Linked DNA regions of Macaca fascicularis. The protein of the gene in region 2 purifies or fractionates together with the protein of the main gene of each other region. This does not show direct contact. Links are inferred from orthologs where the notes say so. Each region holds a gene or a part of one and is shown on either strand. Other genes may lie near its edges.

What was found.
Region 1: the proteins of RAD9A (region 2) and HUS1B purify together in Homo sapiens (co-immunoprecipitation; 3 studies listed by BioGRID and IntAct, counting the BioPlex papers as one, with this or other methods). This does not show direct contact. The link is inferred for Macaca fascicularis from reciprocal best matches to the Homo sapiens genes RAD9A and HUS1B.

The regions. Positions count from the first base shown.
Region 1 is NC_088378.1:172,425,400-172,429,426, reverse strand, and holds HUS1B (checkpoint protein HUS1B), read right to left. Parts: upstream 2,129-4,027; 5' UTR 1,929-2,128; coding exon 1,077-1,928; 3' UTR 765-1,076; downstream 1-764.
Region 2 is NC_088388.1:6,978,799-6,982,532, forward strand, and holds the end of RAD9A (cell cycle checkpoint control protein RAD9A), read right to left. Parts: intron 3,212-3,734; coding exon 3,102-3,211; intron 3,014-3,101; coding exon 2,749-3,013; intron 2,660-2,748; coding exon 2,522-2,659; intron 2,387-2,521; exon of another isoform or gene 1,737-2,386; coding exon 1,532-1,736; intron 1,455-1,531; coding exon 1,359-1,454; 3' UTR 501-1,358; downstream 1-500. Other genes in the region: PPP1CA (serine/threonine-protein phosphatase PP1-alpha catalytic subunit), read left to right, coding at 54-188, 265-375. UniProt on the Homo sapiens protein: Component of the 9-1-1 cell-cycle checkpoint response complex that plays a major role in DNA repair. The 9-1-1 complex is recruited to DNA lesion upon damage by the RAD17-replication factor C (RFC) clamp loader complex.

The sequences.
Region 1 (4,027 bases), on a different chromosome or scaffold from region 2:
GGACTGACTGTTTTGAGAGAAGTTCTACTGTGGACAAAATACCCAAAGCATCCCATGATAAAGAGAAATCTTTCACAAAAGTCAATCGATCCAGCAAGTTCACTACCTTATTTTAAGAAACTGCCACAGCTACCTGAGCCTTCCAACAACCACCACTAGAATCGGTCAGCAGCTATCAAGAGGGAGATAAAGGCCTCCCACCAGCAAAAAGATTATGACTTGCTGAGGGCTCAGATGATGAGTAGCATTTTTTACCAATGAAGTATTTTAAAATTAAGATGTGTACTTTTTTAGACATAGTACTATTGTACTCTCAACAGACTACAGTGTAATGCAAACATAAGGTTTATATGTACTGAAAATCCAAAAACTCATCTGTCTTTATTGCAATATTTGCTTTTTGCAGTGGTGTGGAACCAAACTTGGAATATCTCTGAGATATGCCTATATTTCCTTGATTCCTAATGTGAGTATGATACATGTGAAAAATTGTGAAAAATGAATCTAATAAATAAGCAATTCAAACTATGTAGATAATAAATCTCAAAACCATGTATACTGATACATTCTTTGATATATCCTATGACAAAACACAGCTTAACAAAGAATATGTAATGCGCACACACGCTAAATACCTTTCATCTTGCAGATATATTCAGCTCTCTACATAAGAAATACCCTCGGAAAACATTTATGCATATTTTAAAATGAGAACTTTCCTGCTTTACACAGCAGCATTTTATAATAAAATACTGATGCAATTGTTTCAGGATTCAAAAATATTTATTTCATTACAACCCTGTTTTTCCCCCCGAAAAAAAGTTGAAGAATAATTTACTTGTTAGAATCTTAAGCAGGAAAAAAAACCTGACAAACCCAACAAACAAAAACATAAACTACCCAACTGTTTTATCAATGCTTTAATACAAATTTTGCAAAGGAGGAAGGGCTCCACAAAATATACGCCCTGTATAAGTCAGAGAAGGTGCAAACTTTCAACCCAATTAACTCAGGGTCTGTTTCAGTTTTGAAAAGATCATAAGCTTAAAAAAAACAAATCTACGCTGGCTGAATTTTTACAAAGCAGGAATGAAATACTGGAGAGAGACATCTCCTTGAACCAAAACAAGCTGAAGAAGACTATTGTCCCAAATATTGCATAAGGCCATCGTGGGATTTATTTGCTGTCCCTCCAAAAACTGCAGGAGCTTCCGATTATCTACCCGCACTTGCACCACGCTCTCCAGGTCTCTGTGTGGAGGCACACCAGCCGACTCCGGAGGGTTTCCAAGATTTTTAAAGTAACTTTTAATGGACACCACCTCCGTCTCCATACTCAGGGTCATCCTGCCCCTGAGGTTTGCTTCCACCAGCACGTGATCGCCCACGTTCGCCATCCTCTCCACGATGCTCCTCAGCGTCCTCCAGCGCGGCAGGTGGATGCTCGCGTCGGCGGCGCGCAGGCTGGGCGGCGGGCAGTCTCGCCACGCTCTCCGGGGAAGCACCTGCACGGGCAGATCGTGCACCACGCTGCGAGCGCGGCCCAGGGGCGAGGCCAGCGCCACCGCCACCGTGAGGCAGGGGCGGCGCCTGTGGGTCAGCTGCAGCTTCAGGGAGGACGCGCCCGCCGCGCTTCTCGCCGCCCTGGACAGGTGCTCCGCCGTCAGCTCCAGGTGGATCTCATCGAGCTCTTCCGAGACACCTTCCATGTGAAACTGCTGGAAGGCTCCCCGCCGCACCTCGCACCACAGCCCGGCCTCGCACCACAGCCCGGCCTCACGGAGGCCGCGGAAGCCCGCGGGGCCGAAGCACAGGCTGTCAGGGCGCACGCGGAGCACGCAGACCTTCGCCAGCCTGGCGACGGTGCCGCTGACGTGGATGAACAGCTCTAGACGGCCCTTGCCGGTGATCTTGGCGCGAAACTTCATGACGCCACAGCGAAGGCAACTCGGGGCCTCTGAGGGGAATGCCGCGTGCCACAAGTCCTTCCGGTCCGCTGGGGTCCCCGGCGCTGCCCTCCCCGCCCTCCCTCCGGGCCCCAGCAGGGCAGGCACTCGGGTTCCGGGCTCTGTTCTGGCTTCCGCAGCCCCAGGCCTGGAGCCGACGCCGGGCGGGCGCGCCAACGCCGTTCTCACCTGCCCGCCAGCCCTCTCACAAAACGCTTCCGTTTCCGCTCCGGTTATGAGAAGAGCAGGCATTCCACTGCTGACACTCCTCAGTATTCTCGCCACTATGAAGACAAAGTCATCACTCAGATAAATTAACCACTTTTAATCTCTATGGCATACACACTGATACCATCTTCATCAATCGTACATGAAGATATAGTTCCACGGGTCGTACGAAATAATAGCATACTAGGCACACATTTTACAACCTCATCTTCACACATTAAATATGTAACAGGCATCTCTCCATGTTGGTGAAACAAATCTACATCATTTTCATGGCTGCTCAGTTTTCCAATGTATAGAGTTAGAATACAAGTGGCATTGAGATGATTTCCAATTTTTTGCTATTATGAACACAATGAATATTTTTGTACAAAATAGTTTTGCCCATTTACTCAAGTATTTCCTTGCGTTAAATTCCGAAGTGAAGTGCTGGTCAATGAATGCACTTTTAAAATCCTAATAAATATTTTCAAACTGGTCTGCAGAAAGCTGCGTGAACACTCTAGCCCACCAGCAACACTGGATATTAGCAATCTGTTTCATCTGTGGCACTCTGGCAGGCAAAAAAAAAAAAAAAATTCAACTTGCACTGTGTGTGAATTCCATTTTATGGCCTTCGCATCTTTTTATTGAGTTTATTTTTCTTGATTTCAAGATATCTAGAAAGAACATTAACCCTCTGTCCATTACATGTACTGTAAATATCTTCCCCAGTTTATCATGTGACTTTTCACACTGTTTTTGGTACTCTTTGCTCTTGGGAAATATTGAATCTTTTTTTATGTCAAACCTATTGACCTCTTCTCTACTACTTCTAGGGTCATGCTTTCAAAGTCCTGTTTCTGGTACTTTAATGTTATCTGTTTTTATGACTTAGTTGTTTGACTCAGTTGAAATCTTGCAGTACCGAATACCTAGCTGATACACACAATTCACTAAACAATCCACTTCTCCACTAATCTGAAATGTCAATTTTATTTTAGACAAAAAATTCTCATTTTTGTCTCAATGTTTCCTGGCCCTCTCTATATTTTCTCCCACTGCCCTATCTTGCACCTGTACCAGTGATTTAATTTCCATATTATATTTCAATATCGAATAGGACAATCTTTCAGAACTTCTCTCATTCTCTCACAGATATTGCTCCAGAGGAACTCTAAAATATTTTGTCAGAGTCTAAAAATAATCTTCCTGGAATTTTGCTGGGAATTATCACCACCCTGACATAGTACATACTTACACTTCTTTGTTTGCTGTCTAGCTCTAACCACAATAATGTAACTTAGAGGAGTTCTTATTTGTTCCGTATACCACTGGACAGCCAGCATTTAGAACAGTATCTGCCATGCAACTGGTATTCAACACAAATTTTTACATGAATGTATGAAATGTATAAATTGCAAGGTAATTTCAGGATATTTTGTATATATAAAAAATATATATATATATATATATATATTTTTTTTTTTTGAGACAAAGTCTGACTCTCATCACCCAGGCTAGAGTGCAATGACGCGATCTCAGCTCACTGCAACCTCTGCCTCCCGCCTCGGCCTCCTGAGTAGCTGGGATTACAGGTGCCTGCCACCATGCCCAGCTAATTTTTGTATTTTTAGTAAAGATGAGGTTTTACCATGCTGGCCAGGCTGGTCTCCAACTCCTGATCTCAAGTGATCTGCCCGCCTTGGCCTCTCAAAGTGCTGGGATTACAGATGTGAGCCACCGCGCCTAGCCAGGATATTTAAAATATTTACATTAAATCCTCCCACTTATTCAAACCATTTTTTTGACTGTCAATGAATTATTCAGTTCTGTTCTTGGGGAGTTCACATAATATATAGTATCTTGAAGTC
Region 2 (3,734 bases):
GAAGGGGAGGGCCTTGCCTGCACTTGGGACTGACTGCTCCGATCCTCACCCAGGTGGTAGAAGATGGCTATGAGTTCTTTGCCAAGCGGCAGCTGGTGACACTTTTCTCAGCTCCCAACTACTGTGGCGAGTTTGACAATGCTGGCGCCATGATGAGCGTGGACGAGACCCTCATGTGCTCCTTCCAGGTGAGTGTGGGGAAGAAAGGAGCTACTAGGCCCCGTGGCTCAGCCCCATGAGCCTGACCAACCCTGTCTCTTTTAGATCCTCAAGCCCGCCGACAAGAACAAGGGGAAGTACGGGCAGTTCAGTGGCCTGAACCCTGGGGGCCGGCCCATCACCCCACCCCGCAATTCCGCCAAAGCCAAGAAATAGCCCCTGCACCCCGCGCCTGTGCCCCAGATGATGGATGGATTGTACAGAAATCATGCTGCCATGCTGGGGGGGGGTCACCCCGGCCCCTCAGGCCCACCTGTCACGGGGAACATGGAGCCTTGGTGTATTTTTCTTTTTTTTTTTTTTTAATGAATCAATAGCAGCGTCCAATCCCCCAGGGCTGCTTCCTGCCTGCATCAGCGGTGGCTGTGAGCAGGATCCTGGGGCTGAGGCTGCAGCTCAGGGCAACGGCAGACCAGGTCGTGGGTCTCCAGCCGTGCTTGGCCTCAGGGCTGGCAGCCGGATCCTGGGGCAACCCATCTGGTCTCTTGAATAAAGGTCAAAGCTGGATTCTCGCCATGGCCTCCGTCTCGCGTCTAAGACGCTGCCTGGCAGCTCCTCTGCGCAGAGCTACTTGGGAGGCTGGGCACCAGGCCCCAGCAAGGGCAACCCTAGCCACACACGCAGGTCCGAGGCTCTTAGAATTCCAGGTCGGCACCAAAGAGTATCAGGAAAGCAAGAAAAACTGTCAGCTCCACGGGCGTCCCAGATGCATGCCCAGGACTTCAGGAAGGAACAGGTCAGGTCATGATTGGCAGAGAAGCTGGATCATCAGGGGCCGGCAGCACCTGCTGTGATGTTTTCCTTAGGAAGGTGAGCCTGAGGGAGACAGGTTTCCAGCCTTGGCCAGCTGGAGTATAGCCTGAGACTCAATGGGAAATAAGAGGTAGGAACGTCAGTAGTTCAGGGCCAGGTCTGGAAAGTCATGATTGGCTGGGGGTTGTGGGGAGATAACAGGGCCCAGGCCTGACTGCTGCGGGACAGCTTTACAGTGACAGCCAGCTGGGGCCTGCGAGAGGCAGTGAAACAGCTCAGCTCCGGCAAGCCCACCTTTCTGATCCCCAGGGCTGAGACCCAGCTCTTCTACTGGCTGGGGTTTCATCTAGCCCAAGGCCTCTGGGTACAGGCTTCAGGTTCTTGGTTCAGCCTTCGCCCTCACTGTCTTCAGCCAGCACAGGGCTGGGGCCCTGGGGGGAGCGTACAGGGGCCAGGATGGAGCCGAAGAACAGTGAGCGGAACTGCAAAGAGAACAAGTGAGTTCTGGAGGCTGCTGCCTTCCCCACCTCCTGCCCCTGCCTCCACCTCCAGTCCCTACCTTCTTGGGCGGGGGAGTCCCAGGTACTGTACTGGGCTCAGCCTCATCTTCCTCGGAGTGGAGACCGGGGCTCTCGGGGTGCTGGGGGCCAGGTGAAAGGGAAATGGAGGGCAGCACCCGCGAGCCCTCATTGCCTATAGTGGTTTCCATGGCGATCATGTAAGAGTCAATGTCGTCATTGGCAAAGTCATCTGGGTGGGGTATGCTGCAGGCAGAATCAGAGTATCAGGGAGGAAATGGGGAGCAGAGGCAGGGCCCCACCGTAGAGGGCTCCAAGGGAGCTCCGGGGCCCCCTGACCACTGAAGATCTCTTGGTTTTATGACTTCCTGATTTGGCTGGAGAGGAGAGGATGCAGGGGTTAAGTGGTGGCTTCCTGGAAGGGGTGGGCCAGGAATGTCTGATCAGAATTCAGGTAGGGGCCTGAGGAAGGCATCCTGGCGGCTGCTTTAGCTCAGCTAGGGGAGAGGAACAGCAAGCCCTGTGAACTGGGCCACATGGGGCCCAAGCCCCCGCCTTCCCAGGGGACAGGAGCTGGAGAGCACAGGAGGCCGGGGACAGGCTGGGCTGGGGGCCAGCCCCAGCTTCCTGTGCTGAAAGTGCATTGGGCCATCCTCCCCAGCCCACCTGCTCTTCCAGCCACCTGCTTCCCCCAGCCCAGGCAGCTTCTGCCTCCCAGCAGCCCTTTCCCTCCTTGGCCTGGGAGGAGGCTCAGAGGGGAGGCCTCAGCCAGAGAAGGAAGCCAGCAGGGCCTTGGGGATGCTTCCCTGGGTGGGAGGAGTCTCAGTACAGCTGACCAAGAAGGCTGAGTCTGCAGGGCTGGCAGCTGTGAGCACTGTAGGGGTAGGGACTGGGGCCTGATGGAGAGAGAGGAGGAACAGGAGGGAAGCGGGAGAGAACACATTGCAGGAAGGTGCAGAAGCTAGGAATTGCAGTCTCAGGCTGGAGTGCACAGACATGGGGAGAGGAGGAGTTGGGGGAGGTGCCCTCACCTGTGAGCCTGGAGCTGAGGCACTGGCTGGTGACGCTCTGGGGAGCCCAGGTCCTGGGAGTGCGAGTCGGTGTCTGAGAGTGTGGCCAAGACAAAGTGGCCATCCAGCAAAGAGTCCTTGATGGTGAAGATGGCAGGCCTGGGCAGGGGATGGGGGTCCCAAGCTAGGTCATCCCATTCAGCTCCTGGCATCCCAGAGCCCTTCCCTGTCCCAAGGCTGGGAATTACCTGCCTGGAGCATCAAAATGAATGCTAAGATTCAAGTTTGCTGACTCTGCAAAGCTCAGGAGCCCCTGAGAGGAAAGAGGTAGCAGGTGAGGCCCCGGGTTGGGCTGAGCTGGGCAGGCAGGACAGGACCGGCAAGTGCGTGGGGGGAACCTCACCCGGAATTCCTTGAGGCAGAAAGTGATGGCCACCCCTTCCTGGGCCTGCAGCTGCTGGAAATCCTCCTCTCCAAGGCACATCTCGGACACCATGGCTTTGGCAGTGCTGTCTGTTGGGGAAGAATAGGAGGAACCTGGGCCCCACCCCTCTCCCACCTGCCGCTCTGCTCTGTCCCAGGTCACGTCCAGCTCCCTCACCTGCCTCCTCCTCATGGTAGCTGCGCAGGATGACCCTGCGGCCACGACCAATGCCCAGCGTCACTTCAGCCAGCGCAGGAGGGAAGGGCAGAACAGCCTCCCCCAAGACCCTGTGAACGGGGCGGAGCATTACCCCCAATGCTTGGCCCTGCCCAGGGCTTTGCTCACAGAGGACCTGAGGTGGGGGTCACACATGCACACGCATGGATATGCGCAGGCCTAGCACACGGTGGACGAGGCCCAGATAAGGTGGCAGGAAGGGGCTGGTTGCAGTGATTGCTCAAACCTGGCAGGTGGTACCTGACCATGCAGAGCAGGGAGAGGATCCAGAGGCAGGACATGGCACTCATGCCGCCCTACAAACCCGGCCTTCAGAAAGAGCCCTGAAATCCTTATCCTCTAGGGATACCCATTGCTATACAGATGAGATCACATCTGGAATTTGCTTCAAGTCAAGTGGGGACGGGAGCTGCATCTGCTTTTACATATATTTGAAATTATTCATGAGACAGCGCTCGCTTCAGCAGCACATACGCTAAAACTGCAGCATGCAAAAGATTAGCGAGGCTCCTGCACAAGGATTAAAAAAAAAAAAGAGTAGCTGGGTGCAGTGGCTCATGCCTGCAATCCGAG